7 linked regions of the Sus scrofa genome follow. The protein of the gene in region 6 interacts with the protein of the main gene of each other region in a pairwise test. Links are inferred from orthologs where the notes say so. Each region holds a gene or a part of one and is shown on either strand. Other genes may lie near its edges. The genes, in order: VDR, NR1I3, TNNT1, THRB, RORA, PSMC5 and RORC.

The links.
Region 1: the proteins of PSMC5 (region 6) and VDR interact in a two-hybrid assay, tested with the Homo sapiens proteins (2 studies listed by BioGRID). The link is inferred for Sus scrofa from reciprocal best matches to the Homo sapiens genes PSMC5 and VDR.
Region 2: the proteins of PSMC5 (region 6) and NR1I3 interact in a two-hybrid assay, tested with the Homo sapiens proteins (2 studies listed by BioGRID). The link is inferred for Sus scrofa from reciprocal best matches to the Homo sapiens genes PSMC5 and NR1I3.
Region 3: the proteins of PSMC5 (region 6) and TNNT1 interact in a two-hybrid assay, tested with the Homo sapiens proteins (2 studies listed by BioGRID and IntAct). The two-hybrid records come from large-scale screens. The link is inferred for Sus scrofa from reciprocal best matches to the Homo sapiens genes PSMC5 and TNNT1.
Region 4: the proteins of PSMC5 (region 6) and THRB interact in a two-hybrid assay, tested with the Homo sapiens proteins (3 studies listed by BioGRID). The link is inferred for Sus scrofa from reciprocal best matches to the Homo sapiens genes PSMC5 and THRB.
Region 5: the proteins of PSMC5 (region 6) and RORA interact in a two-hybrid assay, tested with the Homo sapiens proteins (3 studies listed by BioGRID and IntAct). The link is inferred for Sus scrofa from reciprocal best matches to the Homo sapiens genes PSMC5 and RORA.
Region 7: the proteins of PSMC5 (region 6) and RORC interact in binary tests that used the Homo sapiens proteins (3 or more experiments, as listed by UniProt). The link is inferred for Sus scrofa from reciprocal best matches to the Homo sapiens genes PSMC5 and RORC.

Annotation. Positions count from the first base shown.
Region 1 is NC_010447.5:78,207,478-78,210,977, reverse strand, and holds part of VDR (vitamin D3 receptor), read left to right. Parts: intron 1-598; coding exon 599-750; coding exon of another isoform or gene 751-904; coding exon 905-1,021; intron 1,022-2,528; coding exon 2,529-2,788; 3' UTR 2,789-3,500.
Region 2 is NC_010446.5:89,225,412-89,229,534, forward strand, and holds the start of NR1I3 (nuclear receptor subfamily 1 group I member 3), read left to right. Parts: upstream 1-1,323; 5' UTR 1,324-1,506; intron 1,507-1,661; 5' UTR 1,662-1,694; coding exon 1,695-1,801; intron 1,802-2,273; coding exon 2,274-2,404; intron 2,405-3,843; coding exon 3,844-4,013; intron 4,014-4,123. UniProt on the Homo sapiens protein: Binds and transactivates the retinoic acid response elements that control expression of the retinoic acid receptor beta 2 and alcohol dehydrogenase 3 genes.
Region 3 is NC_010448.4:59,360,811-59,364,943, reverse strand, and holds the start of TNNT1 (troponin T, slow skeletal muscle), read left to right. Parts: upstream 1-1,333; 5' UTR 1,334-1,338; coding exon 1,339-1,370; intron 1,371-1,479; coding exon 1,480-1,493; intron 1,494-1,736; coding exon 1,737-1,763; coding exon of another isoform or gene 1,764-1,808; exon of another isoform or gene 1,809-2,013; coding exon 2,014-2,046; exon of another isoform or gene 2,047-2,603; coding exon of another isoform or gene 2,604-2,817; coding exon 2,818-2,839; intron 2,840-4,133. UniProt on the Homo sapiens protein: Troponin T is the tropomyosin-binding subunit of troponin, the thin filament regulatory complex which confers calcium-sensitivity to striated muscle actomyosin ATPase activity.
Region 4 is NC_010455.5:10,994,418-10,997,917, forward strand, and holds part of THRB (thyroid hormone receptor beta), read right to left. Parts: intron 781-3,500; coding exon 520-780; intron 1-519.
Region 5 is NC_010443.5:111,457,004-111,460,503, forward strand, and holds part of RORA (nuclear receptor ROR-alpha), read left to right. Parts: intron 1-740; coding exon 741-1,136; intron 1,137-3,500. UniProt on the Homo sapiens protein: Nuclear receptor that binds DNA as a monomer to ROR response elements (RORE) containing a single core motif half-site 5'-AGGTCA-3' preceded by a short A-T-rich sequence.
Region 6 is NC_010454.4:15,103,527-15,107,759, reverse strand, and holds the start of PSMC5 (26S protease regulatory subunit 8), read left to right. Parts: upstream 1-1,433; 5' UTR 1,434-1,581; coding exon 1,582-1,605; exon of another isoform or gene 1,606-1,882; coding exon of another isoform or gene 1,883-1,894; exon of another isoform or gene 1,895-2,118; intron 2,119-2,124; coding exon 2,125-2,196; intron 2,197-2,988; exon of another isoform or gene 2,989-3,090; coding exon of another isoform or gene 3,091-3,189; coding exon 3,190-3,259; intron 3,260-3,688; coding exon 3,689-3,786; intron 3,787-3,946; coding exon 3,947-4,003; intron 4,004-4,083; coding exon 4,084-4,233. Other genes in the region: pre-rRNA processing protein FTSJ3, read right to left, coding at 148-227, 345-391, 670-775, 949-1,015.
Region 7 is NC_010446.5:97,373,673-97,377,900, forward strand, and holds the start of RORC (nuclear receptor ROR-gamma), read left to right. Parts: upstream 1-1,428; 5' UTR 1,429-1,476; coding exon 1,477-1,540; intron 1,541-2,882; exon of another isoform or gene 2,883-3,670; coding exon 3,671-3,700; intron 3,701-4,228. UniProt on the Homo sapiens protein: Nuclear receptor that binds DNA as a monomer to ROR response elements (RORE) containing a single core motif half-site 5'-AGGTCA-3' preceded by a short A-T-rich sequence.

The sequences.
Region 1 (3,500 bases), on a different chromosome or scaffold from region 6:
CCACGACGGGAACTCCTCTACCATGTTTTGCAGACCACCTTAGTCATGCCGTGGCCCTGAGAGCTTCCTCAAGCTCTCTCTTCATAACCCCAGAAGAGCTGTGGCTGCTTAGACCTGGGACACCCCAAAAAGTCACTGAGTAGCTGAGCTGATCCAGCTGGCATTTGGTCACAGTCTTGAGTTGTTCGCAAGTTGTTCTCCCTCAAGAAACAAGTCTTCTTCTTTCCAACCAGGCTGCAAGCTCCTCAGTGGAGGAGCTGGGCCCATGCTGGGCACCTGGCAGGTGTATACCTGTCAAAACACTGCACTAATTTACATGACTTGAAGGTCTCGGCGTCCCATTGTGGTTCAGTGGGTTAAGAACCTGACTAGAATCCATAAGGATGCAGGATCGATTCCTGGCCTCGCTCAGTGGGTTAAGGATCTGGCATTGCTGTGGCAGTGGTGAGGGCTGGCAGCGGCAGCTCCCATCCGACCCCTAGCCCGGGAACTTCCATATGCCACAGGTGCAGCCCTAAAAAGAACCAAAAGGAGAGAGAGAGAGAGAAGGTGCTGCCCAGTAAAGGAACCTGACCTCCACCTCTCCCCTCCCTGGCAGGGACCTCACCGCTGAGGACCAGATCGTGCTGCTGAAGTCAAGTGCCATCGAGGTCATCATGCTGCGCTCCAACCAGTCCTTCACCATGGACGACATGTCCTGGACCTGTGGCAGCCGGGACTACAAGTACCAAGTCAGCGACGTGGCCAAAGGTGCGTCTGGGCTCTGCCTCCGCCTGCCCCAGCTCCACCCCTCCTGGGGTCCAGGGCCCCACCAGGCACATCCGAGGGAGCAATGTCAGGCTGGATGTGGGGTGCGGGGGGCGTCCTGTGGGTGCCCACAGCAGCTGGCCATCCTCTCTCGCAGCCGGACACAGCCTGGAGCTGATCGAGCCCCTCATCAAGTTCCAGGTGGGGCTGAAGAAGCTGAACCTGCACGAGGAGGAGCACGTGCTGCTCATGGCCATCTGCATCGTCTCCCCAGGTACTCGCAGTGAGGACGTGGGACCTGGGATGTGGGGAGCGTGCAGGTGAAGCCCCACTGAAGACCAGCGGGAAGTTTGGAGGGAGGAGTGAGCAAAAGGAGAGAACGACAGGGAAACCTGGCTTTTGCTGGGTTTGCACAGCCAGGGTGGTGTGTGTATGTTGAGGGTTCCCTCACTGCCCTTGGCCTTGGCCTTTCCCTAGTGAAACCATTGCTGGTTCATGGGAGGGATTTTGAGGAGCCAGATAGATGGAGTTTCTTTTTTTCTTTCTTTCTTTCTCTTTCTTTCTTTTCTGTGTGTGTGTGTATGTGTGTGTGTGTGTGTGTCTTTTGTCTTTTCAGGGCCACACCTTCAGCATATGGAGGTTCCCAGGCTAGGGGTCGAATCAGAGCTATAGCTGCCGGCCTACACCACAGCCACAGCAACACAGGATCCTTAAGCCCCTAAGCAAGACCAGGGATCGAACCCGCAACCTCATGGTTACTCGTCAGATTCATTTCCACTGCACCACAAAGGGAACTCCTAGATGGAGTGTCTCAGGCCACAGACAGGCCTGTGTGAACTGGACTGACCTCCCTGACCCTTGAGGTCCCCTGAGGTCAGGGCACAAAACCCTGGGGCCCAATAGATGTTCTGCTGGCTGGACATCTGGCCTGATGGACAGTTGAGCTGACTGATTTTGGAGGCGGGATGCCGTCAGTCTTGAGCTCTTCTGCCTGTTTGGGGTGGAAAGAGGGAGACAGGCTGAGGAGGAGGGTCTTGTGGTCCCGGGGACTCTAGACACTGGTGAGGCCTCCCCCTGGACTGTGTTTGGGGAACAAACTAGTGGCTGCCATCCAGGGATGCTTTCCTGGGCTGGGGCCCGAGGGAAGGACCTGGGCACCCTCCTCCCGCCCAGTGAGCCCTCCCCAACTCATCCATTCATTTGTTCCCTCGGCAGTGATTTACTGGGCTCCTGTCAGGTACCAGGCACTGTGCTGGGCATAGAGACTCAGCAGCAAACAGGACGCAGACCTCTCCCACCAAGTGTAGGAGGAGACATCAAACACACGCCATTGTACAGCCAGTTCCTAGGAGTTCCCACTGTGGCTCAGCGGGTTAAGAACCTGACATAGTGTCCATGAGGATGCAGGTGTGAGCCTTGGCCTCGGTCAGTGGGTTAAGGATCCAGCGTTGTCGTGAGCTGTGGTGTAGAACCAGTGTTGCTGAGGCTGTGGTGCGGGCCAGCAGCTGCAGCTCTGATTTGACCCCTAGCCTGGGAACTTTCAGGCATGGCCTGAAAAAGCAAAAAAAATTTAAAAAAAAAAAAAAAAAAGGCAATAGAGAGTGGTTGAGATGTTGGGGAGGACTCTGGTGTCGCAGGTCAGCAGCCATCAGGAGTGATGGATGGATTCGGAGGTTAGGTGTCCATCTATGTGGGCTGAGGCATGAGGGGAGTGGATCGAACAGGGAGGGGCCCAGCTCAGATCTCCTGTGCCACCCCCACCCCACCCTCTCTGCCCACAGACCGTCCCGGGGTGCAGGACCCCACGCTGATCGAGGCCATCCAGGACCGCCTGTCCAACACGCTGCAGACCTACATCCGCTGCCGCCACCCGCCCCCGGGCAGCCACCTGCTCTACGCCAAGATGATCCAGAAGCTGGCCGACCTGCGTAGCCTGAACGAGGAGCACTCCAAGCAGTACCGCTGCCTCTCCTTCCAGCCCGAGTGCAGCATGAAGCTCACACCCCTTGTGCTTGAGGTGTTTGGCAACGAGATCTCCTGACTAGGGCAGCCTGCGGTGGCACCCGGCCGGGGCTGCCTCTCTGGGGCCCTGCGCCCAGGCCTGGGGTGGGCGTCTGGCCAGCAGCCCTCCCCACCCCCTCTGGAGTTCAGCCCCTCCTCTGCCACCTCCCCTCCCCGCCTGGCCCATCCTCTCTCCTGCCACAGGCTGCTCCCACTCCCACGAGACCTCCGTTATGAGGAGTTGCTGTTTATTTGACAGAGAAACTCAAGTGGGGGCAGAGGGCAGAGGCTGAGGACCCGGGGACGCCCCCGCTGCTCCAGAAGCGGCTGCTGGTGATGCCGAGGGAAAAGGCAGGCAGGAGAAATAGCCCCTTCCTCAGGGACAGAGACACCCGTACCTCCACCCCACTCCAGGCCCCCGTGTCCAGAGCCTGGTGGGATCTTCCTTCTTCCGCCTCATCCACGGCACGTACTGACCCACAGCCCCACCTCATCCTGCTGCCAGTCTGCGCTGTTCCGTCCCCAGGCAGCGAGCCACCAGGGGGCCTTGGCCCTCTGCCTGTCCAGGACACTCACTGCCAAGGATGACCAAAACCAGGGTGACGAAGGTCACAAATCCATCTCTGCTGCCCAAAGGGCACATGCCTAAGCCCTCCGTGCCCACCTTCCTCTCATCCCTATGGTAACGTTGTCCCCGGAAGGAGCTGTGGTAAGACAGGCTGCCTCCCCACGGCTGGGGACACTGGCCCAGA
Region 2 (4,123 bases), on a different chromosome or scaffold from region 6:
CAGGGACCGAACCCGCAACCTCATGGTTCCTAGTCGGATTCGTTAACCACTGCGCCACGACAGGAACTCCTAGAGGTCCATTCTTATTTAATCCTCAACCCTCCCTCATTAGAAAGTGGAACCTCTTCTCTCTCTCTCTCTCTCTCTTTTTTTTTTTTTTTCTGGATGAATAATGCTTTCTTTTCTATTTTTCTCTACAAACATTTAGAATTTATTTTTGGGGAGTTCCCATCATGGCTCAGCAGAAATGAATCCAACTAGGAACCATGAGGTTGTGTGTTCCATCCCTGGCCTCACTCAGTGGGTTAAGGATCTGGCATTGCTGTGAGCTGTGGTGTAGGTCGAAGATGTGGCTCAGGCCTGGTGTTGCTGTGGCTGTGGCATACGCTGGCAGCCGTATCTCCGATTGGACCCCTAGCCTGGGAACCTCCATATGCCACAGGTGCAGCCCTAAAAAGCCAAAACAAACAAACAAAAAGTATTTTGGAGGGGAGATTGCAAATTTTATTTATTTTTTAAAATAATTTTTATTATAGTTGATTTACAATGTTCTGTCAGTTTCTGCTGTACAGCAAAGTGACCCAGTTATACATTTATATACATTCTTTTTTCACATTATCCTTCATCATGTTCCATTGAAAGTGATTAGATATAGTTCCCTGTGCTATACTCTTCTAACTCTTTACATAAGACCTTAATTAGATCCCAGTCTCTCTCTCTCTCTCTCTGTCTCCCTCTCTCGTTTTTATAGGGCCACACCTGCGGCATATGGAGATTCCCAGGCTAGAGGTCAAATAGGAGCTACAGCTGCCGGCCTACACCACAGCCACAGCCATAGCAATGCCAGATCTGAGCCGAGTCTGGGACCTACACCTCAGCTCATGGCAACGAAGGATCTTTAACCCACTGAGCAAGGCCAGGAGTCGAACCCACATCCTCAAAGATACTAGTTAGGTTTGTTACCGCTAGGCACTATGGGAATTCCCTAGACCACAGTCTCTTTTGAAGAACTTTCCTTTGGGGGGTCTGTACACTTATTATGCCTATTCTTTTACTGTTGACATACTCTGTGTGAAAAAGCTCTCTCACCCTCTCTCCTCCCAGCTTGTCCAGAATCTATGCACAGAGGAGGCTGCAGACCTAGCCTGAAGCTCAGCAGTAGGGTTCGATAAGCAGAGCTTCTAATAAGTCATGAGGTCCCTGCTTATCAGGTTCTCTCCCCAGGTGCCAGCCTCCAGCACTGTGGGCATGCTGGGAACACCTCCCACCCAAGCCTTTGCCCTGGGTCCAGAGTCTGAGTCCTATCTAGGCACTCACTGAAAACAGCTGAAGGCCACAGAGGTAGAAGTTCCTTGTTTTCCAGGTACTAAAGGCTATAATCCCTAACTTTAAATACTGGAAGCTCCTGAGATCAAAGGGAAAGCAGGGTTACAGTGGGAGTACGTGGAGAGGAATCCAGCACCAGATTCTGTGGCCTGCAGGTGACGTGCTGCCTAAGAGGAACAGGTAGGAAATCTTTGGGGACCCAGAGACTAATAGCAATTAAGTGCAGATAACACAGGGGGTCAGGCCCAGAGCAGGTTTGGGAAGAGGATCTGCAGAAGCAGGAGAAGAAGGTCAACGGTGGCCCAGAGCTGACTGCTAACCCCTATCACTTTCAGGGGCCTGTGACCACCATCCCAACACCTGAAGCCATGGCCAGCGGGGAAGATGAGCCAAGGAACTGTGCTGTGTGCGGGGACCGAGCCACAGGCTATCACTTCCATGCCTTGACTTGTGAGGGCTGCAAGGGTTTCTTCAGGTGAGAACTTCCTCACCAACATAAACAGCCTCCCAAACTGCCTGCCAGGCAGCCGTCATGCCCTGGCATCTGCCTGAACTTGTCCAGCTGCCTCGCTCCTGCAACCTGGAGCCTAACTACCCTAGGGCTAGCAAGCTACCCATTGCCAACCGCAACACTGTATATAAAGGTAGCAAAATAACAGAGGGAAGGCCAAGTGCTGGTTCTATGGATGCAACCCCTTAGTCATGTGTACTTACTCTCTACAAAGCACCAGCTAGTACAGCATCAGCCAGGCTTTCCTGAATGACTCTGTGCCCCCCGTGGAAATGCTTGAGATGCACCGTATCCTCTCCACTCCTAGGGACCCTGGGGCACAGCTCAGATTAGCCCATGTCACCACCGATTCTTTTAGACCATGTCATTTCAGCCCTTCACATACCCACCTTACTCGCTGCCATCTCCGACCCTCACAACATCTCTGTCCTCACAGGCGAACAGTCAACAAAAGCACCAGTCTCATCTGCCCCTTTGCTGGAAGCTGTAAGGTCAATAAGGCCCAGAGGCGCCACTGCCCAGCCTGCAGGTTGCAGAAGTGCCTAGATGCTGGCATGAAGAAAGACAGTGAGTTGTTCCCTTACCATCTCAAGGACCCTCTATGTCTCTCCACTGGCTATGCTTTGCCCTTGTTCCTGTAGTGTCTTCTCCACACAGTGGGCAGAGTAAGCTTTTTGAAATAAGTCAATATCACCATTCTGCTCAAAACCTCCAAGGGTTCCTCATCTCTCTTATGGTCCATGATCTCATGGTCTAGCTCCTCCAAATCACCTCTCAGACTTTACTTCCTACCCTTCGCCCTGCTCAGTGCATCCCAGCTACACTGACTTCAATGCTGCTCTCAGACACTCCAAGCACACGCTCCTTGGCCCTGTTGTAACTTACACTTGTACTTACTGTCACCTCTACCCGGAGTGCTCTTCCACTAGATATTCATCAGGCTTGCTTTTTCTCTTCTGTCTCTCAAGTGCCTGTCACTTAGTAGGTTCTTGATAATTGTTGAATTATTTAATGTTTCCTCTCTGGGCCAGATAATTACGCTCTGCCCCCAAAAGATAATGCAACTTGTAATCAACTCAAGTGACCATAGTCAACTTGCCCAAGTCCACTCAGCTGAAAAGGTGTAGTCAGGATTCACCAGATCCTTGCTTTCTCCACAACATCACATTATTTTTCTTCTTTTCTTTTTTTTATATTGATTTTTTTTTCTTTTTTCTTTTTTTTTTTTTTTTTTTTTTTTTTGCTTTTTGTGGCCACACCTGAGGCATATGGAAGTTCCCAGGCTTGGGACTGAATTAGAGCTGCAGCTGCTGGCCTACACCACAGCCACAGCAACGCCAGATCCTTAACCCACTGAGCGAGGCCAGGGATTGAACCTGCATCCTCAGGGCTACCAGTCAGGTTTGCAACCCACTGAGTCACAGTGGGAACTCCCTATATTACTTTTCAATATGAAGCAGTGGAAAGGAAACCGTGGCAGTCAAAACATCTTTAATTCAGTCTATATCAATAAGTATTCTGTGACTCTGGACCTGTCCCTGAAATGTCAGCCTGTTTACATTTCTGAAAAATATGGATAATAACACCTGCCTTCTCTACTCATAGGCAGGCTGGTTTCATTCAGTGAGATTTAACCTCAGAACCTCTGAAATTATAAGGTGCACCTTATGCAAACATAAGGTGATGTTTTTGGTATCAAGAGCCCTCCCACTTCAGTGTTCCCCCAGAAGCCAAACATCTTACACTTTACTCTCTACACTTCCTTTCCCTCCCACAGTGCACCGTTTTCTGCTGCAGTGCCTCACAGGTTGGGGAAAGTGGACAGGAGCTCCCTACCACCTGGAGGCTCTGGGACTTCAAGCAGGCCTCAGGAGCCCTCAGGAACTCTCCTCCCTCCCTGTGTCCTTCGTTGTGCAGAGCGTCCGAGAGCCCTGGACTACGGGCTGACAGAAAAAGGTGCTCTCTGCTGGTCTCAATAACTTTGTCACATCTCTCCCCGGGCACAGTGATCCTATCAGCAGAAGTCCTGGCATTGCGGCGAGCAAGACAGGTTCAGCGCCGGGCACAGCAAGCATCACTGCAGCTGAGTAAGGAGCAGAAGGCGTTAGTCCAGATACTCCTGGGGGCCCATACCCGCCATATGGGCACTATGTTTGATCAGTTTGTGCAGTTCAGGGTAAGCACTTACAGGATACCAGCTGGGCTGTGACCTAAGGGAGAGGGCTGCGTGCCATGCACCAATCAGAGGACAGGACTTCTCCAGAACCCCAGCTGAGGCAGACTCCT
Region 3 (4,133 bases), on a different chromosome or scaffold from region 6:
CTATTCCAATAAAATTAAATAATAATTCAAGAAGGAGTAAGAAAAGAAATTGGGAACCTCTGGGCTCGGCTGGCAGACAGTCTGGGTGTCAGGACCAGGGTGCGGGCAGTGCCTCAGAATCTGGAGGTTTAGGAATTGAGGTCTCAGGATCTGAAATCTTATGATTGGAGGTATTAGAATTTGTGGAGTCATATTTTGGGGTATCAGGAATCGGGCCCCTGAGTCTGGGCATCCAGGTTTTGGGGTCTCATAAGCTTAAGGTTCCCAAATTTAAGGATTCAAGACTGAGGGGGTCAAGGTTTTAGGGTGGCCAGGCCCATAATCTGGAGTATCAACAGTTGGGGTGTCAGAATCCGGAGATATGAGGACTTAGCCATCTTCAGAATTCCTAAATTGGGATCTGTGGGTATTAAGATTTGGGGACCTCAGATTTGGGGGAGTCTTAGTATTTAGGGGTCAGGATGAGGTCTGGGGACAGAAGCTGCTCTTGTGTGTCCTGTCCCCTCCACAGCTGTGGGTGAAGGTGACTGATAACCAGCCAAAGGGGAGGGGACAAGGGTGGCAGAGGGGAGTGGGTATGATGAATTCTCCCAGAACCCCTCCTCCTAGAATACTTTTTAGATGTCCTCTGTGTCACCCTCCACGACATCCCCCCAAAATAGCCCTTGGGGGTGGGGCAGCTATTGTCTTCAGGCCACTGTGTCTTCCCCAAATACCTTCCCCTAATCCCTCCTCAGATCAGGTTCCAAAGGACTTGTCATAAGACAAAAGAGGGCAGCTGTGGTGAGGGGGTGGGGCCTGTGGCTTTGGGGTTGGTGGGGCCATACCTTCCCAAGCCCTGTCTTCATCCGCGGTTTAGGAATCTTTGGGAGTTGAGGGCCCCCAGCTCCTCCTCCCCCAGACCCAGGGGTCCTGTCCCAGCCCCTTCTCCCTCAGACCCAGGGGTCCTGCCCCAGCCCCTTCTCCCTCAGACCCAGGGGTCCTGCCCCAGCCCCTTCTCCCTCAGACCCAGGGGTCCAGCCCCCAGCTCCTCCTCCCTCAGACCCGGGGGTCCAGCCCCAGGCCCCCGGCCTCAGACCCAGGATCCAGCCCCCAGCTCCTCCTCCCTTGGACCCAGGGGTCCAGGTCCCAGCCCCTCCTCCCTCAGACCCTGGAGTCCTGCCCCAGCCCCTCCTCCTCCAGACCCAGGGGTCCAGCCCCAGCCCCCCCCCCCCCCGTCAGACCCAGGATCCAGCCCCCAGCCCCTCGTCCCTCAGACCCGGGCGTCGGGACCCCAGGTCGGGGATCCCGAGTCCCTCGTTTGGACCCCCGTTCTCTGCCTCTCTAGGTCACGCCAGGATGTCTGACGCCGAAGAGCAGGAATATGAGGAGTGAGTGATGCTGGCGGGAGGGCTGGGGGCTCGGAGCGGGGGAGACCCCCTCCGCCTCCGAGGCGCCTAACTCTCCCCCTCCCTCTTTTCTCCCCGCCCGGGTCCTCAGGGAGCAGCCTGAAGGTGAGTGCACTTCGGCCCACCCCGCCCGACCGGCCCGACGCCCATCCTCCTGGGAGGGAAAAGCCCATCGTGCCCGGCGGCCGCTGAGGCTGACGGGTCCCCCCCCCCGCCCCGCCCAGCTGAGACTCGAGCCCGAACCTGGGTCTCTGCCCCCTCACCCACTGGGTCCCCTCTCTGAAAGCCCTTCCACCCCGGGTCCCCCTGGGCCCCTAACCCCTCTTCTCTCTCCCCGACCCCTTCCAGAAGAGGAGGCTGCTGAGGAGGAGGAAGGTGAGGCCCCGGACTCCGCAGGTCTGGAGCTGGACGCAGGTCTGGGGGGGTGGGGGACAGGCGGGTGGGTGGGGGGCCCGCTGGTCCAGGGGTGCAGGCCGGGCGGGGCGCGGGGCTTTCGGGGTTCTCGGCCTCAGTTCCTTTAACAGCCTCTCCCCTCTCTCCCCTCTCTCCCCCCCTGCATCCGGGCCTGGCCGCTCCCCTCCCCTGGCTCCCCAAACCCTCGCTTCTCCTCCTGCCCCCTCCCCAGCCCCCGAGGAGCCAGAGCCGGTGGCAGAGCGAGGTAACCGCGGCTGCTTCGCTTCCTGAGACCAATTGCGGGGTGTCCTCTGGGCCCTGACCTCCACGAGAACTCCCTCCCCGCCCCCATAACCCGCCCCGGACCCGGTCCTTTAAGCCCCGGAGAGCCCGCGCGCCCTCTGGTGGCCACGAAGGGAAATAGCCTCGCAGCGGCTTTAACCCGTTCCCTTCCTTCTTAAAGGGACCGACACCCAAGCCTTCTTCCCCAGACTGGAGGAATACTTATAGAAGGGTTGGATGTTTGCGGAGAGGCACCCCTCCTCCCCTCTCATCTTCGCCTGTTATTTTTCTCCCCCATATACATTCAAAGGTTGGGGCCTGGGTTGCAGAAGGGGGTAGCAGTGGGGGTCTGGATTCCTGTGTCCCCAAGGGGGAGGTGGCTGGGGACACAACTCCAGGGTCCCCGAGTGAACAGAGGGCTTGGGGAGGAGGGCAGGAGCTCTGGGTCTGCAGAAGGAGGGTGGGGGGTTTGGAAGCCTGGTTTCCCAGCGAAGCGAGTGGAGGGGGGGAATCCCCACACCGGTTCTGAATGTATATCTGATGCGTGTGACCCCTCCCTCCCTTTACGGCCACCCCGATTTCCCTTCTCCTCTTTTACCCCCGCCATACCCCTCCCCCAGGGCTGCAGGACAAGGGAACTGGGCCTGGGGACCAAGTCTTGGGGGGGCGAGGAGGGCCCACCTTTGGGTGTGTCGCGTCCTCCCACGCCCACAAACTCTTGCTAATTGTGTCTTTGTATCCCCCCCCCCAACAGAAGAGGAGCGCCCCAAGCCAAGGTGAGATCCTAGGGCTGGGGGTGGGGTCTCTTAGATCTAGCCCCTGCCTTCAGAGACAGGGTGCAAAAAAAGACGGGAGGAGGAGTTCCCGTCGTGGCGCAGTGGTTAATGAATCCGACTAGGAACCATGAGGTGGCAGGTTCCATCCCTGGCCTTGCTCCGTGGGTTAAGGATCCGGCATTGCCGTGAGCTGTGGTGTAGGTCGCAGACACGGCTCGGACCCCGCGTTGCTGTGGCTGTGGTGTAGGCCGGTGGCTACAGCTCCGATTGGACCCCTAGCCTGGGAACCTCCATAGGCCGCAGGAGCAGCCCTAGAAAAGGCAAAAGACAAAAAAGAAAAAAAAAAAAAAAAAAAAAAAGACAGAGGAGAGGGGGAGGGACACCTACGAAAGGACAGTGATTCTGTCCTTCAGCAAACATTTCTGGTGAACTTCCCATGGTATTTGATGAGTCAGAGTGTGGCTGCCCTGCTGGTGAAGCAGACCCAGATACAAAGATGGTAGCACAGAAGAGGCCCTAGCTATGCCCGGTGGCAGTCATGGAGGGCTTCCTGGGGGAGGTGCTGCCCTGAGTCCTGGGAGTTTGCTAATTGAAGGAGGTGGGAGAGATTGTAGTCGAGGAAGCAATGCAGAAGGTGCAAGGTCCAGCGGCCAGATCTCGGCCAGTCTTTGAGGATCCAAGCTCTGCAGACAGGTGGAGGCCAGGCTGTGAGAGCTCCTTGGGAGAGGGAGAGGAGACCTGGAGGTGGGGACCTTGGGGCCAGAGATTGGTGTTGCAATCTGAGCATGAGATGCAGTGGACAGTGGAGTTTCACCACGGCTTGAGGGATGAGGAGGCAGAGTCAGATGGGAGTGAGGACACAGCTGGGCTGCAGCATCAGGAAAGCTCGTTGGAGGCAGGAAGGCCTCAGGTGCGGAGAATGTCAGGCGAAGGCCATTGCAAGCTGAGCACACAGCATGTGCAAAGGCCCGGGGGCGTGAAGCCATGTGGCATGGCCAGAGAACTGTAGAATTTGGTGAGTTTTCAGGGAAGAAGGCCTAAGCCTGGGCAGGGGGCAGGGGGTGGAAAGGGGGCCACAGACGGAGAGATTTCCAGGTTGGGGAGCTCAGCTGGGGCATGGAGCCATCCGTTACCTGGAGTCTGGAGATTGGGAGAGAGTCTGAGCTGGAGACCAGTGTTGGTGAATCCTCAGTAATTGAGGAGAATCCAAGTCACAGATGAATGATATTAATCACTAGCATTTCCTACAAATGAATCAGAGGGTAAAACTCTCACCAGGGGACAAGGAGACAGC
Region 4 (3,500 bases), on a different chromosome or scaffold from region 6:
ACAGGACTTAATGAGTAAAAGAAAACAACTTCAAACCTCTCTTTTGAACATGAATTGTCTATGTAGGTTAAACGTAGACTCTGAGATCCCATTAGCTACTGGCACAATTGGGAAAAGTCATGTACGCGCGTGCACACGTGGACACACACACACAGACACACATGCACACACTTCAAAGCAAGTAGTTATGTAACGATAGCAATGTCTGTTTCTACTCAGGTTTGAATACAGAATTAAAGCCCAACGAACAACTCTCCGGCTAATTAGAGAAATAAAAAATGTCTTCTCCCCAAGGGCACCAATCCAACTTGCAAAAGAAGTGAACTGCTTTCCTTTGGAACCTGCCTATTTATTTACATTTCAAAGAGGATCTGGGGATAAAGAAACTTTGGAAGAGCAGCCCGGGAAAGCACAGAGACAGCATCCATGGAATGAGTGGAGACCCAGAACACACTGCCAAGAGCAAGTGATTTACCTGGCTGCAACACTGGATACAGCTTAATAACAAGACCTGGTTACCTTTACATTTCTTCTCTTCCGTTTGGAAGGTCTGGGCACCGGGGACACTCTGATCATTCACATCGTCGTGGTCCAGATGGAGAATCGAGCTGGTCCAGGTGGCCTGGATGAGGTGCGGTGACGACTGTTCATTTTTCAACGTGCTGCGCCTCTCAGGGTAGGTCTTCCTCTGCAGGCAGGCGTCAGACATCCCCACTAGCTTCCAGTCCTGCTCGCCGTCTGGACAATGCTTCGGCTTGTCCCAGGCTGGAAGGCCATTTTCTGGAGGGTTGAAAAACACGAGATGACACGCTGTTGGCATTATCAAGACTGGGATGAGACGAAGAGTTGCGGCAAGCAGGTTGTTTCTCGATTTGGGGAGGGGGCGCTGACAGCGTGCACGTACCCCTCCTCGGACAGCAGGGACAAGATGCAGAGTGTGTCAGCCTGGGGCACGGAGCCACCGTTGCTGGATGGCCTGTTGGAGAGATCAATACCTCCCCCCTGATGTTCGGTGCCTAAAAAGGCATCGGCTTCTCCATGGGGAGGCTGCACTTTCACCAGGCCCGCTCCCAGAGACAATGGCCCGGGAGCAAGTTTACATCAACTGATGTTACTGCTTAGATGACCATTTGAGGTCTCGAGGGTCAGGGCTGGCCATGAACACTTTTCAGATCCTTAGGACATAAAACGTCCAGGATTCGGCCTGGTTTGACTTGGGTGTTATCACGGGCTGACCTGAGAGGCACTCTGTTCCGTAAGTGGGACATGCCACGTGGCGGCAAGAGTGACAACTCTGTTCTCCTTGTCACCTTCCTCTCCTGACAACCTAACTCAGAGGGCTGGATCTTCCACGAGAAGTGAGAAATTCTGTTGATGGTTTCAACGTCATCCCAAATAGATCAGAGAGTGGTGGGTGGTGGGGTGAACTAATAGCTCTAACGATGGAACGGAAAAACCCCAGGTCTCTTTGGTGGATGCACTGACAGTTAAAAAAAAAAAAAAGAATGGATAAGTAATGGAGTCCTACTGTACAGCACACAGAACTACATCCAATCATGCACAATGACTTATGCATGTTACCTTGTTTTCTCTATTCAACTTATAGGGACTTTCAGCTCTGCTCTCTAGAAAATGGGAAAAACTATAAAAATATAATGCAAATCTTCTCGTACTAACCTTCCCTGGTGGTAAATTTACCTCCTTGAATATCTTTATGGAACGAGGATATAAAGTAGAGAGTAAAATGGAGCAAGCTTATATATATATATATATATATACTATATATTATACTATATAGTACAATACACATTATATATACTATATATAGTATAATACATAGATGCATTTAGAGTAAAAAACATAATCCATCTGGTCATCCATAGTTTTAGAAAGTTTTAGGCTACTGTCTGTCAAAGTGAAAAAAATATAGCATGAATAGAGTTCTACATTTAAAGTGATTCTAGGCAGTGATTAAAACGCTATGTACTTCGTAAGTGAATTTTCTTGTATGCTGAAATGGCCAAAGAACTGTAAATATCCACAGTGGAGATTCAAGTCCATCCTGCTCTGTGCAGAGTACTGGGAGTTTAAAGCTGCTTTGCAAACATTTAAAATAAATTTTAAATTAATTAATGCAAGGGTTAAACATGCTTTAGGTTTTCATAAGCCCCCTCTGGAAGCTGCCAGGCATCTTTAGGGATGTTGGTTAGGGTGGTTTCTCTAAAGGTGTCATGTGCTCTCAGCCCCTTTTGGAAGCTGCATCTGCCTTTCCTGGTCTTGGGGTTACTGTGTAGAAACCCCAAGACCCATACAGTTTCTTTCTAGTACAGGAGAAGACTGTAAACAACTATACATATATAGCAATAATCAATGAGTGTTTTCTCTGTTTCAATAAATGCAAAACTGCAGCTTGAAACACCCAAACTTGGCCAGAAAGCAATGATCGCCTTAAAAAAAAATCATACAGGAGTTCCCTGGTGGCTCAGTGGGTTAAAGATTCAGCCTTGTCACTACTGTGGCTCGGGTTGCTGCTCTGGCCCTGGTTCGACTCCCAGACCTGGAACTTCCACATGCCACTGGCGTGGCCAAAGATAAATAATTAAAAAATCATACAATGCTTTTGGATGGAACATTTGATCTTAATCTGAGAGGAGCCCTGAACATTCACTCTATGCAAAGGGCTGTGCCGAGCGTTGCATGTGAGGTGAGTTAAAAAGACATGGGTTCTTTGTCCTCAGTGTATTTGGCACTGTTCCAATGGTGAATCAAAGAGGTGTGGACCTGACCGTGCCAGCAACTGGTGCCACTAGAGGCACGTATTGTCATTTTCCATGAAAAGAAAACAACAGATTACGATCTTGGAGATTGTGCTCATTTATCCGTGAGGGTTCAAGGTTTTCATGAGCTAAACATGAAGCCATTGAATGCAAGGGTTAACTCTGGGCTCAGAGAATTTCATCCTTTTTCCGCAGATGGGAGAAGCCTTCTTCCTCATGCCCGTTTCTGTGATGTCTGCTCTATTTTCATGGACTCTAAATCATTGGTAAATTGCTCTGTGTAACGCTCCATTTGAAGTAATACTGAAGTTATCACAGTATTTTGTAGAACCTCCAACACTGGATTTTTCTGAGGAAAATTTTTTTCTTTTTTTTAGGGCTGCACCCATGGCATATGGAGGTTCCCACGCTAGGGGTCCAATCAGAGCTACCAGTGCCAGCCTACATCACAGCCACAGCAACGCAGGATCCGAACTGCATCGGCGACCTACACCACAGCTCATGGCAATGCCAGATCCTTAACCCACTGAGAGAGGCCAGGGATCGAACCCACGACCTCATGGTTCCTAGTCAGATTCATTTCCACTGTGCCCTGATGGAAACTTCTGAGGAAATTCTTAAAATTTGATATTCATTCCTCTGCCTGAACAGAAATGAAGAAATACAGCCCAAAGGGGGAGTCACTTGCTCCCCAGTGAAGGGAGCAATGGATGAGATGCTGGA
Region 5 (3,500 bases), on a different chromosome or scaffold from region 6:
ATTCTCCCAGCAGGGATCTTCCAGTGTCTGCCCTTTCCAAAATTCTGATATTCTTTTCACTTGGGGCTAAACAAGTATACCAAAAATCATCCTTAAAGAGGGGTCCAAGGGTTTCACACAGACCTGAGGCATGGCCCAGGAGTGGGGTGGGGGAGACTCAGAGATGTAACTCAGAGAACTGCAAACACTTCATCCAGTCAGTTAAACTTTTTCAAGGAGGCCCCAGATTTGGTTGTTCGATCAGAAAGAAACTCATGCCACTGTACGGATTAGTGAAATTAATGCAAGATGAGGTTTGACTGCTTGTGACTCATTGTACCTCCATGAGTCTCTGCATCCCTGTGCACTGATCTGAACACCGTGAAGAGACAGAGGAGGTGGTCTAGGCCAGCTGCCTAGGTAGAGGGGGAATGAGCCCATTAAGTCTCATTTCAGTGGCTCCCACTGAGCGCAGGGTCATGTGACAGCACCAAGACCCTGGTCATTGCTCTGGGTTTCGTCTATCAGCCTTGGGTCTGTTTCTGAAATAGCCTCTCTGGGCTGTGTCTTTGCTGTTTGGGATGTGGCATGAGCCTGTGTGGGGCAGGACTGTTTTCACCCCTGGACCGTGTCCTTGTTTTGCGGCCCTTTGGTTTTGGATTGAGAGTGTCTGAGATTTCAAAGGAACTCCTAAAGCATGGCAGAGAGGAGAATGGAGAAAAGCGTATTGTATATGGTGTGGTGTGGCTTTTTTCTTCCAGCTGTAAAGTTTGGCCGCATGTCGAAAAAGCAGAGAGACAGCTTGTATGCAGAAGTACAGAAACACCGAATGCAGCAGCAGCAGCGCGACCACCAACAGCAGCCTGGAGAGGCTGAGCCGCTGACTCCCACCTACAACATCTCGGCCAATGGGCTGACGGAACTTCACGATGACCTCAGCAACTACATTGACGGCCACACCCCTGAGGGCAGCAAGGCAGACTCTGCCGTCAGCAGCTTCTACCTGGACATACAGCCTTCCCCGGACCAGTCAGGTCTTGATATCAATGGAATCAAACCAGAACCAATATGTGACTACACACCAGCATCAGGCTTCTTTCCCTACTGCTCTTTCACCAATGGAGAGACTTCCCCAACTGTGTCCATGGCAGAATTAGGTAACGGCTTCCATGTTTCCATTGGGATATATTCCTTGTGCCCATCAGAGTAAATGGGATATGTTTGACTTTCCGCTAAGGAGTTATGTTATTAAAATAATGCATCTAGGAGTTCCTGTCGTGGTGCAGCAGAAATGAATCTGACTAGGAACCATGAGGTTGCAGGTTTGATCCCTGGCCTTGCTCAGTGGGTTAAGGATCTGGTGTTGCCGTGAGTTGTGGTGTAGGTCGCAGACATGGCTTGGATCCATCGTTGCTGTGGCTGTGGTGTAGGCCAGTAGCTGTAGCTCTGATTCAACCCCTAGCCTGGAAACCTCCATATGCAGTGGGTGTGGCCCTAAAAAGCAAAAAATAAAATAAAATGAAATAGAAAAGTATCTAAAAAAATAAATAAATACCATAAAATGATGCATCTAGCAGGACAATTCAGCTTTACCTTTTGGACCACTTCGTAATTCCAGCCTGGCCCCTTGCTCTTTGCCTGTCCGCTGTTTCCCATTGTATATCCAAGAAGTTCATTGACCTCTCAGCGTCAAAGCTGGGACAAGATGAACTTAAAGCCATCTTTAAATTCCACCAAAAAATGTCTAAGCTCAGGGAATGGCCCCATTAACTTCACCTCTTTAAGTTATATTCTAGGTATTGCTTTATATACCAAAAGTCATGGAATGGCAACCCACAGACTCAAGCTGGTCCAAAGACATATTTCTCTGAGCTTTACAATTTTTGAACTGGTTGCTAAAGTACAGAGCTTTACAATTTTTAAATTGGTTGCTAAAGTTTTAAACCTGGACGCCTCCACCAGAAAGTTCAGATGTTCCGTTTCTTGTGGGAGGAAAGAAGAATGATCTGGTTACACTGGAGCAGTATTTGTGAATGGCAGCAACCAGCTGGTACCAGTTAGGTCCTAACCTTTTAAATGAACCCATCCCGCTGTCCCCATTTAGATCACTCCTCAGGCCCTGTTAGCATCTACGTTTTTCAACTCTGATGTGTTCCCTAAACTTTCAAGGAAAGTTGGCTTATTTGCCAAAATGTTTTCGTGATGTATATTAATGATGAAACAGATGTATGTCATGGAAGATCCACCTTGCCCCCCAAAACAAAACAAAACAAAACCCAACAACCCTGTCATTTCCTTATTCCTGTGACATTGGTGCTTCTCTGGAGATGTGACCTAGAAATGTTAACACAGACAATGGAAAACTTTTCATTTCAAGGAAGTTGTGTTAACATCCTCTGTTATATTTAATCGATTTTTAAGTGCAGCACTATTATTAGAGAAACTTTGATAAGGACCTTGGCTGTTTGAGAATTTGATCTGCTCCTCCCCATGATTCCTCATACAAGGTTATACTCCTTTGGGATATTTCAATTAGTTGCTGTGAAGATGACTAAGTTAAGACGAGGAGAGAATGGAGACTTCAGATGGAAAAGAACCAGCAGGTTCTGACTTGAGCACAGACACTCTTAGTTCACAGAGAGAACAGTTGTGTTCTTTAGATGGTTTCTCCACCTCTGTACCCCATAAAACATTTTTAAGTGAAATTTATATTTCCAGTAAAATCTTTCTCCAAATAGAACAAATTGAATGTTCTTTACGGTTTTTACACAAGCACCTCTTTATGGGTCTAAATTTAAATCCTCAAGAGCAGGGACATTTTAAGCCTGGTCTTTAACCACTGAACAGCATTAAAGGTGTATCACAGCTCTTTTGATTAACAGAGAAACCTCTGAACTAGAAGCCAAGCTGAGCAGAGGTGGGTTTGATTTTTTTTTTTTTTTTTTCTTGAACTAGAACAAAAACCTTCCGTTTTGGTCGTGAAATCTTGGTTGGCTAAGCCTTAAGCAGGGCTGTAATGAAAGTAAAATTTTCAGAAATGAATAAGGATATGATTGAAAGTTGACAGGCACTTGTGAAAAATGACCTGGCTCACTTTAGGCTTGCTTCTACTTTATCATAACTACTAGTGAATCTGCCTGTTTGCTTGTCATATGTTCAACCCAAAATAAACCCACACTGCTTGACCTAAGTGTGGCCCTTGAACATGGCACTTGGGCTGAATGTGTGCTGATTCCTGAGTGGAGCCAGAAATGGCTCAGCTTCTCCTTTCCCAGCAAACCTGTCAACTCCTGGAGGGTGTGGGGCCCTGTGCCCACATCTATTCTACATGTTCTCTTCAATTAGGGATTTTTCACATGTATTATGGCATTTTCCAGGATGAATAAAATTAACTGTTACTAAGATTTGTCCCAAACCCAAAACTAAAGAAGAATTTATCTGAAAAGGATGTAACAGGACTCTAATTTTCTGTCCCTTTTGCACGTGGAGGATAGTTTGAGGAGCTAAGAGTAGCATCAAAG
Region 6 (4,233 bases):
AGGCATGGTAAACAGGAAAAGCATGCCTTCAGAGGATCAGGGTAGGCTTGGATCTGATCCCTGGCCTGAGAACTTCCATATGCCGCAGATGCAGCCAAAAAAAAAAAAAAAAAAAAAAGAGAGAGAGAAAAGAGAAATCTCCATTACCTGCCTACAACGTTCTGTTGTGATATCCTCCTGGAGAGTCACCACATTGGGAAGAGGCTTGATTGGAACCAAGTCCACACCTGGAAGAAATCAGGGTGGAGTGTTCCCAAAGGTTGCCTTAAACAGGAGGAAGGGAATGCCGAACACAGCATGTCACACTCGCCATCCCCGAAACGCTTAAAAGAACTGTCACTCACCCACAATAAGGCTGGAGACAGGCATAAACTTGGCAGCCACCTGCAGCCTATAAAAAAGAAGTAAACACTGAAATAATTACCCTGGCTTGTCCCTTTCCCGCCGTCTCTGGCTCTCATCCCCAGTATTAGGAGCCCCTGCCGACTGCAGTGGCCAAACATATCTCATACATAACTTCCAAATATTTTTCCCTGAAATTTGTTTCGGAAGTAGAAAAATTTCAGATTGTTAGTCCTGTATCTCTCCTGCCCACAGTTAAACTCAGTCATCCATGGCGGGAATGCAGAAAGCTGCCACAAGAAGCAACAGGTGCCAGATATTACGCACCATCCACCTGGTGCAGCGCACAGGTCTAGCAAGGCTCGGGCTTTCTGCAGAAATTGAAAGCGGCGATTCAGCTGGATCAACTTGAAAGCAGAGCGGGAACGGTAACCTAGAAACAATGAAAAAAGAATAAAGTCCGCGAAAGCGCTTTCCCAGCGGGATTACGGTGGCCTCACAACCCACCACCTCTTCTGTGGAAGAGAAACCCAATGTTCGGGAAGGAGGCGAACAGGCAAAGATCGGTGGCTCTCTTGCTCTCAGACTGCGTAAACCATGACTCACCGGTCTCTTTCGCCAGGTGATAGAACTTGTCCCGCCGGCTCTTCCCTACTTTGCCCTTCTTGCCCATAGTGGAACTGGGGAGTGCCACTCAATCTGGAGAGAAAGCAGAAATCAGGACGTCTCCGCCCAGAATACTAGATTACGCTCTCCGCTCCCCACTCGTCTTCTCAAAGACACTCCGCACTCCGCTCCTAACACCACCCAGCTCCGTTTTCACTACCCCAGCAGCGGCACGTGTAAGCAGCAAACGTATTTCCGCTTCCGTGTGCGTCGGCTGCGTCCGCGGATCCAAGTTTTCCGCCATTTTGAGCGTGGCCACAAATTTTTCTTTAAGCTCTGTGTCCAGGTTTATAAACTAGATGTTTGCACCCGGAAGTAATATTACTTTAACCAAAACCTAGTTTCTTCGGAATAACATTTAGGAGCTCTGCGTCCTCTTTATCCCCTTCCAAAGCTCCTGACCTCGCGTGGCCCCGCCGCTTCAGGGCCCCTGTTATTTGCTTTGTTTGGGCGCACACCCCGCCCATTGACCCGGAACTGTTCTCTGCCCGGGAGTTCGGTCCCCCAAGCCCCGCTTCCGCGCCTGCGCACCAAAGCGGCTCTGATGCCGGGGGCCTCCGCGGAAGAGGGAAGATGGCGCTTGACGGGCCTGAGCAGGTATGGCGGCGGCTGCCGCGGCCAGACGGGGATCAGGGCTGGATGCGGAGCAGGTGTGATCCGAGGTGGGCAGCCGTCTGGGGCAAGAGCGTTGAGGCAATCAGGTGTGGATGGACCAATCCGGACCGGGCCCTGCCTGGGAACGGATCTGCTGTGTCAGCGCCTCCCCCGGCGGGTCAGGGCAGGGCCGGGAATGGAAGACCCGGTGGAAGCGGGATGAGTGAGCGAGTCGCCCGAGTCAGGGAACCCGTCCTTCTTGCTGGCTCCTCCTGTAGTAATGACCCTTCGGGTTTGTATGCCGTTGCCTTGTGTGTTCTCTCTTGCTCCTCCTGAAAGTCTTAAGGGGTGGACTTTTTTTCCCCTCTTTCTGTTTCCCCTCTTCTGTCACTGGGACACGAAGGGTTTTGAAGAGATGGAGTGAGGGATTAGAACCCAAGTCTTAGTCTCTGAAGTCCAAGCTGGAAGTAGCTTTATCCCTTGGGTGTTTAACCTGTTGTTTAATAATTAAACTGTCTTCAGATGGAGCTGGAAGAGGGGAAGGCAGGCAGTGGACTCCGCCAGTATTATCTGTCCAAGATTGAAGAACTCCAGGTAAGAGGTCCTGAGGGAGCTGGAAGGGCTTCGGTGAAGGATCGATGGAGCCGATTTCTAGAAAGCCGTATGATTCCACTGGGGCGCAGTGGAAGAAGCAAGAAGCCAAGGGTATGAATTATATCAAGTTAACAGTTTCTTCCTCAAGTCCCACCCTTTTGAAGATCATTAATATTCACAGTTTGTTACATATTTTCAGGAGTCAAATTTTCACATAAAAGTTAGCCCCGGCCAAAAATCATTCCTTTCAGAGGAAGCCTGAATGGTAGTTTCTTATAAAAGGGAAGATGTAGGTTCAGAAGATGGGATTTATTAGAGAGGGGTTGGGGCAGAGTGAGAGTGAGGGAAGACAAAATTGAGGAGTCTGAACAATGCTGGTTCCAGGGGGCCAAATGAAAAGGAACTAGCAACCCAGTATTACAGCCTAAAGAGGGAGCCAGATCATAGAAATGAGGAAAATATTGCAAATTAGATGGAGAGCCACAAGGAAAAATTCTCACTTCCAGGTACATTTGCAGGTTTCATATTTGGGTGGTCATTTTTGAAATGCTTTACCTGTGCTGCTTTCATTTGTTCCTCAAATTAACCCCGAAAAGAGGCCAGTAGGTGCACCACTTGCAGTTTGGTGAGAGATCTAGACCTTTTAAGTGGTTTTCATTAGCTTTACTCAGCTATTAACAGCCAGCAGTGGGGCTAGAACTTAGGCTTCTGACTCAAAGTTATCTTCTCTCTCTACCATGTTACTGCCCTGCAAGACACAGTGTAAGCCAGCTGTTGCCTCTTCTCCATTAGGGTTTGCTATTCCTGGACCAGTGTTAGACAAGAAGCTTTTTCCCTGTGGTTGTCCTACACTCCTGAGGAACTCTTGGATCACATTAGAGAATCTGAAATAACATGCGGGTGCCCAGTGCTCTTTCCTCACTCTGCTCCCATCAGCCTGTGAGGGTCATAACCTCCTACCACTGTCTGCCCTTTGCCTCTTGTCCTCCACAGCTGATTGTGAATGACAAGAGCCAGAATCTCCGCAGGCTGCAAGCACAGAGGAATGAGCTTAATGCAAAAGGTGAGGGGGAAGGATGGGAAGGCTGCACGCAGGCAGTGTGAGGTCCTCACACGGGTGCCTGTCGCTTTCTCATAGTTGTTCACGTGCACATCTCTCAAGCTCCCTTGTAACCTCCTTTAAAGATATGAATTTCGACTTGTAAAAAAAAAGTCTTATTCTAGTTGATTCACAGTGTTACTTCTGCTGTGCGGTAGTGTTGCAATTACACACATATATGTTCTTTTTCACATTCTTTTTGTTACGGTTTATTACAGGGTGTTGAACATAGTTCCTTGTGCTATGCAGTAGGACCTGTTTTGACTTTCTTTTTGAAACCTTCCTTTCAAAACTTCAAAACGGCACTTAGTTCATGCATGCTGAATCCTGAATCAAGTCGTGGGGGGAGACATCAAAGAATCTGGGTGACCACTATGTCTGTTTCCCATCTAGTTCGCCTGTTGCGAGAGGAGCTACAGCTACTGCAAGAACAGGGCTCCTATGTGGGGGAAGTAGTCCGGGCCATGGACAAGAAAAAAGTGTTGGTTAAGGTAAAGGCAGCATGAGCCCCGGGAGCAGCCCTTTGGTCGTGGCATTCCCATACCTACGTGTGTCGTGAAGGTTCTCCTGTCGTGCTATTGTGAGACTCGGGGGTCTCTCTGGGTGAGGCTCATGGCTGTCAGGGAAGCACACAAGCCTGTGTTTCTGTAGGTGCATCCCGAGGGCAAGTTTGTCGTAGACGTGGACAAGAACATCGACATCAATGATGTGAGTGCAGCAGGTGAGGTTGGGAGTTGGGGGGTCAGCTCTCACCATGCCCCATCCTAAAACTCTCTTCTCTCGCCCAGGTGACACCCAACTGCCGGGTGGCTCTCAGAAATGATAGCTACACTTTGCACAAGATCCTGCCCAACAAGGTAGATCCACTGGTGTCACTGATGATGGTGGAGAAAGTGCCAGATTCAACTTACGAGATGATTGGTGGACTGGACAAGCAG
Region 7 (4,228 bases), on a different chromosome or scaffold from region 6:
ACTCCAAGCCTGCCCAAGGGGCTGAGCCCCCAAACAGACCAACATCCTGTTCTGTGCAGAGAAAGGTACACAGATGCGTGGGCCACCCATTTACCAAAAGGACACGGGGCTAATCAGAGGCTCAGAGGCACAGACACATGCCCTCAGACTCTCTCTCCGTACAAGAAGATCCCCACGAGTTTCCGTCCACTCTTCCCCACTCCCTACCCCTTTGTCAACCATCCTAGGAGGTGGAGAGTCCTTCTCTACCTCTGTCTCATAAGCTACAGCCCTTGGGAGAGTCTGGGAGCTACCCAGGAATGGAGGTGCTGGAGGTGCTCCGTGTGAAGTTCCAGGATGGGGTAAGAGTGGAGGATGGTGAGATGGGAGGGCAGGCGAGGAAAGGGACAGCTGCCTGCCCTCTCCACGCCAGGTGCCACGTGCACAAGGTTGGGGGGAGTGGGCTGCCGTCACGAGGCTGAGGCGTGGCTGGCTCCTGCTCTGCTGTTTACCAGCTGGGAGTGAGAGCAGGAGGAGGTGCCAGGGAGCCTCCCCACTGCAGCCTGGCCCCCGGCCAGCCGGCCTGTTGGGTAACCAGGAGAGCCAGGCCCAGCTAATCAAACTCTGGGCCGAGGCTGGGCAGGAGAATAGAAGCATCCAGGACTCACAGAAGCCTCATCCTGTGCCCCCTGCCCTGAAGAGCCCTGCTCAGTGATGGGGGATCGGGGTGCGGGGAGGTCTCCTTCCTGTACCTAGTGCAGTGTAGCACGTCTCCCATGGCTCCTGTGCCCCCAAAAACAACTCCAGGCCTGCCCCCGACCCCAAAAGACTGGGAGGATATGGAGGCATCAGGGAGCCAGGGAATTCTAGAGAAGGGCAGCAAATGGCAGAGGCTAAGCCGGCAGAGGCCTCAAGGAACCCAGAAACCACTGGGATGACTCTGACCTCATCCTGGAGAAGAGACCCCATCCCCCAGATAAACCATCCTATCTTCATCTCTCCCCTCCCCAACTCCCCTGATCTTATCACCTGTCTTGGTCAAGTAGAAAGCATATGATTCTAAAGTCAGCAAGACCTGTGTTCAATGCACAGCTCAGCCACTTATGGTCCTTATGCAAATGCTTGGGCAAGTCGGGACAATCTTTGACCATCACTTCACTTAGGAGCATCACCTAGTTATCTGGAGCAACTATGTTTGCCTCGTGGCGGATGCTGGGAGGATCGGAGAAAATCATAGATTTATACACAGCACACGTCCATCGATAAATGTGAGCACCCTTCCCGTCACCTACCCTGTTTCTCCCCAAGGCTTAAACTTTGTTCTTCCGGTGTCTCCTCTTGTCCCTTTCTGATGCCAAAACACTCTGCCAGCCACTCCTTTCCCCTGCCTGCTGCCGGGCCAGGTGCTCTGTCCCTCCCCCCTTCCCTCCCCTGGGCCCTGCTCCCTGCCCTCCTGGGCAGCCAGGGCAGCAAGGACGGCACCCAGGGAGTTGCCCCATGGACAGGGCCCCACAGAGACACCACCGAGCCTCGAGGGGTAAGAGGCCCTACGGCCCTGCAGGCAGGTGGCAGGGGCTGCCAGGAAGTTCAGGGGACAGGGAGAGGTGGGAAGAGACTGGTTGGGAAGTGAGGAGGTGGGGAGGAGCAAGAGGAGAGAGAAGGAGAGAGGGGTTGGCCGGCGAAGGCGGGACGGTGAGACAGGACAGGTCTCCATAGAAACGGAAGGAGAGACCGGAGGAGGAGAAACGCGAAGCGGGAGAAGCCGGAAGCACACGGAGGGGAAAGAAAGGGAGAAGCAAGGAGGGAAGGGACAGGTGGGATGGGGGAGGAGAGCCAAGTCGGGAAGCTGGAAGAAGGAAGCGCCGCACAGGGCCAGGCCCTGCCAAGTGTGAGCGCCCCCTGGGAGGAGGAGCGGGCACTGCTCCTTTGGCTGGGACCCGCTCTGGGCAGCAGTGGCTGGGAGGCTGGCCATCCACCTTCTGTTCATCCAGCAATGGAGGAAGCTGCCCTGCCTTTAAGGATGACAGAGGGTGGGGGAGAAAGCAATAGCACCCTGTCTGCTGCCCGTAACCCACGGGCCCAGCACTTTCCTCCCCGGTGTGGGGTTTCATTTCTGCAAAGAATGTGGGGCACCTGGCCAGGGGCAGCGGCGGACAGAGACTCGGGCGGACCTTGGCCCCACGGATGGTCTAACAGCCTCTCCCATGGCCACAAGCTCGGTCAGGTGTGAGCACTGAGGGGAAACGCTCCAGGGCCACCTGGCGGAGGAAGAACTCCACTGCCGGGGCCAAGAGGGGAGCGCTCCCACCCCAGGACTGCTCTGAGGTGCAAGGCTGGAGGCCAGAGAGACAGTGCCACGTCAGGGAGGAAGCTGGGTGGGGCCAGGCAGGATCAGCGGGGTGGGGGGAGGCGGGAGGGGCCGGATGGAGCCACTCCCTCCCTGGGCACCTCCCCCCACCCTACCCCAGCGGAGCCTGGGCCTTCAAGTCCAATCACCCCCACTCAGCCCAGTGGAGGAAGCTTGTTAGAGGGAGCATCTCTTGGGCAGAGGGACAGTGCGGGGTCGGGGGCAGAGGGGGGAGGTGTCAAGGATTGGACAAACGGAAGGAAAAAAATAACCGGAGAGCAGAGTCAGAAGTTAGAGAAACTTGGGGCATAAGGCAGGCCTGCAGCGTTTTCTGAAAGGAAAGACTAGCCCTGTGCTCTGTGAGGAGCTGCTGTATGGATGTGGGAAATGCACCAAGGTCTGGCCCTGGGGAGGCTTCTTCCCAGGGTCTTGGTAGGTGTTTAATAAAAGCTCACCATATGAATGAATGACACCGCCCCGCCCCCTGCAATGATACTCTAGCTAAGGCTTTCCCTCTGGCGGGCTATGCCTCCCTGCCCACCCCAGATCAACTCACCTAGCTCAGCACTGCCTGCTCTCCACCTGGACCAGCCACACACACCAACAGGAAGGGATTCCTTCCTCTGCAAGCTCATGGACCAGTGGAGCCAGAGCCTGTGGAAGGCCAAACGGAGTCCGTGCTTGAAGCTCTCCCTCTTCCTCTTAATAGCCTCACTAGCCTATTCTCCACCCCCACACCTCTGAAATTCCCAGGTGCCTTCAGGCACAAATAAGCAACCAAGAGATTTAACTCTGGCTGCAGAATACTGTGCACCTGTAATGGGGCGGGCACTACAGAATAACAATGTGAACGAGGCAGGCACAGTCCCTGCCTCCATGGGGCTTACTGTCTCACAGGAAAGCCCCGTTTCACAGGTAGTGACACAGCTATAGCGGTGAGATGATGTGGTGAGTGCCAGGAAATCAAATGCCTGATGCTGAGTAAATGCAAGGACAAGGGAGAAGGGCATGCTTACCTTCTCCAAGGAAAAGACATGATCGGGACGCTGGAGGATGAGAAGTTGGCTAGATGGACGAGGGGCCAGGGAGGGACATTCCGGGCAGGAGGAATAGTGTAGAGAAGCCCCAGAGTGGTGAGGAGCCTGCACTTTTGAGGACCTGGAAGAGTCCTTGGGTGACCATAGGGCCGAGAGTGAAGAGAGGGTGCAGTGGAGGGTGGTCCCACCTTCTCCTCAGATGCCGTTCTGCTGGGAAGGAATGAGGTGGGGTGGGGGCCTGGGCACTGGGGAGTCCACTATGGTCCTCGGCTTTTGACCCTGACCCCCCCCCCTTTTCTCCTTATAGAGCTGCTGGCTGCAAAGAAGACCCACACCTGTGAGTAGAGGATTGGGATAAGAGCTGGTGCTGGGGTCTGGGGAGAGGACAAAGAATTCAGCAAGGGCTCCAGCCAGCCCGTGCGGATGAATGGCTTGCGCCTTGCTAGGCGGAGATGGCTGAGATGAGGAAGGGAGAGGGAGGGCTGAAGAAACCTCAAGATCCAGGCAACAGAGGGAGACAGGAAGCCTGAAGAGTGCGGGGGAGGCGTTCCCGTTGTGGCACAGTGGTTAACGAATCCGACTAGGAACCATGAGGTTGCGGGTTCCATCCCTGGCCTTGCTCAGTGGGTTAAGGATCCGGCATTGCCGTGAGCTATGGTGTAGGTCGCAGATGTGGCTCGGATCTGGCTTTGCTGTGGCTCTGGCGTAGGGAAAAAAAAAAAAGAAGAGTGAGAGGGAACATCGCAAAGAATCAAGGAGAGAACAATGAAAGGGCGCCCAGGAGACGCAAGGGGGTGGGGCAGACCGCTGGGCCAGAGCAGGGGCAGATGGGGGAGGCAGGGTGACCTCAGGGGCTCAGGGAGCC